2 linked regions of the Oryzias latipes genome follow. The protein of the gene in region 2 purifies or fractionates together with the protein of the main gene of each other region. This does not show direct contact. Links are inferred from orthologs where the notes say so. Each region holds a gene or a part of one and is shown on either strand. Other genes may lie near its edges.

Region 1 (3,754 bases), on a different chromosome or scaffold from region 2:
AAATGGCGAATATGACATAATTGATTTCACAAAGTTAAAATCTAATTCATATGAGCGTTTTGTCACCATTATTTATGAGTCCACTGAGTTCTGAAGATAAAAACATTGATGGTTTAATTAAAAAAATACATTTAAATACATTTTCTTTTGGCAAAAATTGTTCTGATACTATGCATTGTGGTCTATATTCACCGACATAGTGAGCCTTGATGCACACTGGTATTTCACAGAGACTTCTGGTAAATTTCTAGGGCACTGGATTTTGTAATTGTAGATTCAGACAGCTCTACAAAAAGGTGGACGCATTATGCAGTGAGTAGTGAAGGAATTCTGACACACCCCAGCAGCAGCAAAGTTAGAAACAGCTGAGAATGTTAAGTACCTGTAACTTGCAATAGAGGCACTTTATATCCATTTTAAACAGTTTAGGCCATATTCTGTAAAATTGTGCTTTTTACATTCAAGCGCTTTGTTTTTGAGAACTCCACCCACCAAAGACATCTCCATACCAGAATGCTGCTACTGTAACCCAAATATACTTCACTGGATGTAAGGAATTTCTAGTTTAGTGTATAAATATATTGGAAGCTATTTATATTTATTTGATTTTTGGTTGTGAGTGGAGATCATCTCAGTATTTACTTCCAGAACTTTCTTTCACAGAATGTATGTCCACCTTTAATGTTCTGGTCTCGTTTGAAAAAATGTGTTTCTCTGAAGAAAGCAAATAAAATTTGAAATATTTCCTCACTTTTACACAACGTACCAGAGGTTTAGTTATAACTTTACTGCTGTCGGTGGTGGTTCACCTTTCAGCAGATCCCTTCATGGATCGCCTCTGCAAATCCACTTTCATTACTGCTATTTTTGAAGTCCTCAAAGAGAGGAACACCTGCATAGGTGCGCTGCTGACTCACCACTTTGGAGGGGATGTAGGCGTACGGCAGGCTCCTGTCCTCACACATGACCGGTAGGTGGCAGTACACCTCGATGGGCAGAGTGTCGCCAGCTAAAACCACGATCCTGTAGAGCAACGACCAATCAGAAAACCAGCTTGCAAGCAATGAAGTCACTTCTGGTCACGCCCCCTCAGACTAAACACAAAAGACTGAGTCACACGGGTGACTGCGCATGTGCGGGGTCAAAGGTCGAGACCTCAATGGACAGCAGACAAGGTGACCGCTAAGCCAAAACGCAGCCATTACGATACATAACCAAAGACAAAGTACAGGTCCATCGGCAGATGCAGTTTGCCGTTGGTGGGTCAGCTAATGAAAAAATAGCAACAAAAAAACCAAAGCAGCAAATACTAGTAAGAACAGACCGTTCAGTGACATGAGTGAGCAATATTGACATTTCTGTCAGCCATGTTTTAGTTGCTTCCTCACCAACCCAAGAGCCTTTTCAATCACAAGAGGATCGGGTTATTGTTTTCTGTCAATGCAGAGAAGTGGCATTCTGATCTGTCAAAGAAACAGAAGAATGTCGTACGCCTTTAGATAGTCCATATGGAATATTTAAGCCTTCTACTAGTATTATAGATCTGGAATGTTTGAGTACTGCATCATGTGGGCCTAATGTTGAACCAGACAACTGTTATCCAGTCCTCAAGTTGTATCATGTCCAATGCTTCGCATGCATACGTCCTTTTTATCATCGTCTGCTGTGGGGATGAGGCCTCTGCAGCACACCTGTGTCGCAGCACACCTGTGTCGCAGCACACCTGTGTCGCAGCACACCTGTGTCGCAGCACACCTGTGTCGCAGCACATCTGGTGCATCGTCGGGCGCCTTTAGTTCGTTAACTGACCGGGCAGATGGTCCTGTTATTTTAACTTTGAATATGTTTCATCATGGCTAGGGTTAGAGACCATCACCAAGTTTGTCGTCCAATGAGGCCTTGACCTTTGACCCCGCGCATGCGCAGTCATATTTGTGAACTGGCCAACATCACTGAGTCGCTTTGACTAAACCCCAACTAAAACAGAAAAGAACTTGGTTGAAAGGTTTTGCAAAGTTTCTCATCATTAAAGTTCTAAAGAACTGTAGCTCCAGACAATAAAATGAGAAATGAAGAGCAGCACAGAGACAAACGGAAATTATCTGGATTCTAGAGAAAAACAAAGGATCCTATGAGAAGCTTCATCCACCAACATGCTTCTCCTCCTCCTGAGCAGCTCCGGCTCGTTCTAACTCACCCTTTCTCTCCCTTGTTGATGAACTTCTGCACCTCCTTCACTCCTCTGCGGATGTTCTTCACTCTGGCAGCTGAAACCACAAAAATGCTCAATACTGTCCTGGTCCAACCCGGTCCCAGTCGGACCCGGACTGATCCACAACCTGGAAACGTCCCGCACTCGTACCTTTCTTCACGCACTTGTAGAGCTTCTTGCTGAGCTTCCTGGAAGCCAGCGGCTGCGCGATCGGGTTCAGGTTCGCGATCAGTTCGTGATAGGAGCGCTCCGGGACGCCGGCGGGCTCCTCCGCATCCAATTTCTCCTTCTTCACCTTCGTCATTTCCAATCGATGATTTTCTGAGCCGAACGTCTGCTAACAACAACTTAACACGAGGACACCTCACGTGCTCAGCTTCCTCTGCTTCTTTTTTCAGACTACGGCTTATCACAGCGCCGCTAGCGGCCGGGCGGTGAAATGCAGCGTGACGTTTCAAAGTTTACATTCCAAATGACTTTAATTTGCTTCTTTCTTTCAAAAATGAAATTGTGTTTAAGTTCTTGTGGTGTTTTTCTCATGATAGTGAAAATATAAAAAGAAAATTAAGATTAAATGTGTGTTTTTGTGTGTTTCTTCTGTTATTTCTTTATTCAAATTGCTGTGAATCAGGAGTAGATGACAAACTTACAGTGTAAAAAAGCTTGTCGTTACCATTGAGAGTAAAATAAGAACTAGACTGAAAAACACCCCCCCACCCCCTCCGTGTACCAAAAAAGGAAGTACCTGCTGGTCCTAAGAAGGCAAAACCCCATAGACTTCTATTAAGAAATAAACAGCTGTTACTCTGTCATTCTATTGGTCAGAATAACCATTCTGGATCTGATAACTTTTATTAAAATCTTATTGCTAATCCTGATTTTTCTCATGGTATTTTTCCTGTAGTGAAAGTTATCTAAGTTATAAACTGACAAATCAGATGCCTTAATAAAAGTAGCGTCAGAAGTTTGAAACGTTTGATTGACAGACCCTCCCTATCCGCTCTCAGTGGAAAGGGGTGTGGCCTTCTAACAGGCTCACTCCTGATTGGAGAGAGTGGTTGCAACAGAAATGTAGACAAGCCAATCACGGCTTACTGAGGTCATCTGCTTCTCACATGGTGAAGGACATATCGCAGAAAAATGGGGACTGAATTGACTTCAGTTGGTTGCAACCAGAAGCAAGGCATTTTCTATGGATGATATCACACGCCATTTATCCAGTTGTAAATTTAACAGTCAATTGTCAAACAAACTGAAATTGATGGGCCACACGCTATGGGGTCAAATTATATGAAACCCATCAAGACGACTGTTGTTGTGAATTTGGGCTATACAAATAAAATTGAATTGAATTGAAATTAGGATCAGGTAAAAAAAAAAATAACTCAAAAGTACACATTGAAAACGCCAAAAGAAATAATGAAAATTAAAAAAACTTGACCCCTAAGTTTAAACAAGAACTTCAAACCTTAAACTGATACCAAATGAAAAATAATATTTATTTGTTTTGCATTTTCAACGTTTGTTTCCTCTGTTTCTTTC
Region 2 (3,754 bases):
CTGTCAAGAAACCAATGTTTTTTTTCATAGTTGAACGTGTTTTTACTATTTCTGGCTTTAATAAAAGCTGTAATTTTCTCTTTATTAAAAAAAATTGGAAAATTACATACTCAATCTAGTTATTTGGGGGGGGGGGGGGGGGGGTAAAAGTAAAAAGACCAATATTGGTACCTATTGTAACTGTAACAACAAAAATGATGTATTCACTTTATGGTCTCTACAGAAAAGCCAGTTTAGCTGCTCAAAACAACAGCAGAAAGAAGTTTAACGGACAACGGTAGTTTGGTGACAAAGATCTGCAAAACCACGATATGAATGGAACATTGATTTTGTGCGTAATCTCAGAGGGTGCAGCACAGGTCAGACAAGCCAACAGAACGAATTGAAAATCATTTCTAAATTTTAATCCCTCTAAAATGTAGCTTTTTCCCGGATTTATTCCATTGCGCACCCTCTCGCGCACATGCGGAAAAACAGAGCCCCGCGTGCAGCGACAGCAAACACGTGTCTGTTACTGAATCAAGTTCTAATGTGAACCGGAAAGACGAAACAATCTTCAAAATATAAGTCTTCAACTTTTAAAATTTTGTCTCGGAATACACAAAATATGGGTAGTTGTACGTTAAATTTTCATTGCTTAAGTAGCTTTAATTACTTTAATAATATTACTAGCTACCTCTTTTTCTGGCTGATCTTTTTCAAGGGTTCTCACTGCAATTCACTTGCTATCACTCAATTCTAATTTTCTCTCACACCAAACTATCACAATTTATTCACGCATCACATTCACAAATGTTCATTTAGGTATTTCTGTTGCATGCTTCCGAGCAACTATAACCTTGAAACTCATTTAAACGTCTTTAACCACTGTTCTTTCTTTGTACCGCGCTCAGATCAGGTCCAAACTATCTCCGTCATTGAAACGTCCCTCCGCTGGACTTTTATTTTGAAGGTAACGCAAAGGAAGAAGCTTCAGAATTCTTCCGCTTTGAAGATTGTTGAAGTGTAGATTCAGTTGCTAGTTTAAGTAGGCGACATTTATCCTAACTGAAGCATAATTTATGCCTTCCTGGAATGTTTAAGAAGTTTTAAGGTAACATTATATTATTTCTTTTGTGTTTTAGTAAACAAAATTTGTGTTCAGCATGATATTAGCTTGCAAGCTAATATGCTAATCTGTTTGTTTATACGTTTATTTTCTTAGCTCCTCTAATTCACTGGTTGTTGCTAATCTGCTAGATATCTGGTTGTTAAACAAAAATAGACTGTAAAAGTCTTCTTATTTTATAAAGAAGGTTTCTGATAAAATAGGTTTGGTAATGTTTTATAATGGTCGTATTATTAGCCTTAGCTTAAACGATCATGTACAGCTACAGGTAAAGTTTCGCTTTTTATTTTTTTTATTTATTTATTTTTAAGCAAAGAAAGCTTTTTAACATTACTTACTAACAAATTTAACTGTGTTGGTCGGCAGATGGATGCAACATTTCCAAAAGAAGAGGAGGATAAAGGATTAGATCAGGAGTTGCCTGTGCAGATAAATGAGAATGCAAAAGTAACAGGAGATTTTCACCAGGAATTATTAGTGCCAATAGAAGAGGAAGAAAATGTCACAACCGTGACAGATAATAGGCTGGAGTTACCAGAACAGATGGAAGAAGATGAGACTAAAAGATTAAGTCAAGAAAACCACCTGGAGGTAGAGATGAAAGAAGGGGGGCATGAAAGAAAAATTGGGGAAAGTGATCAAGTGTTACCAGGGCAGCTAAAAGGGAAGGAAGAGCCGAGATTACTCGTGAACAATGAACGACTTATGTTAAAACAAAAGGAGAAAGATGGAACATTGAGAGAAACTGAGCAGGAATTATCAGTGGTGGAAAAAGAAGAAGAGGAGGAGGAGATGGAGGTTTCTTTGGCAAAACCAGAGGCAAATCCCATTATGACCCTTAACAAGGCCACACCCCCATATTCAGAGACCCGTCCTGAAAAAACAAGAGATGAGCAGACGCCAGTATCCTTGGTTGCAATGACCGTATGTATGGTTGAAAACAGCGAGGATGAAGAGGAGACTGAAGATTCAGACAGGTACTCACACACACACACACAGATCAATGAAGTGGTAGATCTTTTGTTTTTGCTTTTTACATCATATAACATGAAATGAAGGCGCTTTAAGGGGATAAAGATGATTCTAAATCCTCTTTTTCCCATCCCCAGTGATAGTTCATCCTCTTCTTCATCTTCTTCCTCATCCTCCTCTTCGCCCTCCCGTCCCTTGTTCGAGGATGATGATGATGAAGGCTTCAGCCAGCCGGTCCCTGTCAAAAGTAAAGATGAAATCTGCTTTGAGGTCAGTCTTGACACTTTGTTTTGAAAGCTCAAATAAAAGCACAAGCGTGTTACATTTCTATAACCCTAAATTTGCAGCTAAATTCACACTTTTTTTAGATTTATTTATAATCTAGCATGATGTAGTGTTCATTTAAAAAAAAGTTTTTCAAAAAGAATTTTTTTTTAAAGAAGCGAGTGGATCACGTTGTTCCTTTATTAATGTCCTTATAGATATGAAAGGAAAGAGCGTCCATTTAAATTGAACCAACTTTTAAAAAGAAAAGAAAAAAACACCTTGTATTTTTGATAACCGATTATTCTAACATAAAACATGCACTCTAGCTTTTTAGGATTTAAAGACATTACTTTTGTTCTTGCTTTTTACGTTTTGTTTTCTACATTAGAAATCAAGTCTATATTTTAGATGTCACATTGCCAAAGAGGCTTGACAAATTTGTGCTGGCAGTGCAGAAACAAAAACAATGGTTCAAAATAAATCAAAAGCAAAAGATATTGGGAAAATCGCTTCTTTTAATGTTTTATCCAACCAATTATTTGCCTTCACCAAGATTATTTAGTCATTCAGTTTTTTTCGGATTTTGCAGGGCATTAAAAAGGAAGTAAGTGATCTTGAGGGCAACCTAAAGCAACAGGCAGATGGTTGGACCTGAACAGGAAAAAAAGAAAATATCAAATTAAAGAAGAATCTTCTAAAGGCCCGTACACACCGGGACGAATATTTGCCAGGCGTTATTCGCCAGCGTTTTTCGCCACGTTTTTTGTGTTCACACCCAGGCGATTTTCGCTGACGATGAGTGGAGTGAACATGCAATTTCATTCCCTGACATTAGATGGCGCTTAATGTAAAACAGAAATACTCCTGTACACAAGGTGGCGCTGCGCAACTTTATGCTTCTTAAAGTCGCTTTTCACTCAGAAGAAGAGAGCAAGTATTTACACGCTTGTCAGAATCAAACAAAGAAAACATGAATATTTCAAGCACCAGTAGCTCCAACTGGTGCTTCGTTCGGGGATATTTTAGAATGTCCGTCATTATTGCTTCGCGGCTGTGTGTAGACGCTACTTGGCGTCTATCTTCTTCGCTGGTATGTGTGCTCAGCAAGGCAGTTTTGTGTTTGAGCGCCCCCAAGTTGTTTTACTGTAACTTCAGAAGCTCCAGACACGTGAGCAAAAGCGCCATTCTCATTGGTCGAGTAGATTTCGACGCGACACGTCGAAAAAAAAAAACGAACCCGAGGCGTTTTTTTTTTTTTGACGCTTTAACGCGTGGCGTTTTTTCGCGTCGGTGTGCACACTCTCGTTGGTGCCCTTTGTTTAGTCACGAGGCGTTAAACGTCGGCGAAAATCGCCGACGAAATTCGTCCCGGTGTGAACAGGCCTTGAAGCTTCAGAAAGCAGACAT

What was found. Proteins that work in one complex are often made in the same cells at the same time.
Region 1: the proteins of H/ACA ribonucleoprotein complex non-core subunit NAF1 (region 2) and nhp2 purify together in Homo sapiens (affinity purification with western blotting; 3 studies listed by BioGRID and IntAct, with this or other methods). This does not show direct contact. The link is inferred for Oryzias latipes from reciprocal best matches to the Homo sapiens genes NAF1 and NHP2.

The regions. Positions count from the first base shown.
Region 1 is NC_019872.2:3,233,716-3,237,469, forward strand, and holds the start of nhp2 (H/ACA ribonucleoprotein complex subunit 2), read right to left. Parts: upstream 2,621-3,754; 5' UTR 2,517-2,620; coding exon 2,363-2,516; intron 2,268-2,362; coding exon 2,198-2,267; intron 1,024-2,197; coding exon 918-1,023; intron 1-917. UniProt on the Homo sapiens protein: Required for ribosome biogenesis and telomere maintenance. Part of the H/ACA small nucleolar ribonucleoprotein (H/ACA snoRNP) complex, which catalyzes pseudouridylation of rRNA.
Region 2 is NC_019859.2:6,670,685-6,674,438, forward strand, and holds the start of H/ACA ribonucleoprotein complex non-core subunit NAF1, read left to right. Parts: upstream 1-961; 5' UTR 962-1,093; intron 1,094-1,474; coding exon 1,475-2,085; intron 2,086-2,217; coding exon 2,218-2,350; intron 2,351-3,754. UniProt on the Homo sapiens protein: RNA-binding protein required for the maturation of box H/ACA snoRNPs complex and ribosome biogenesis.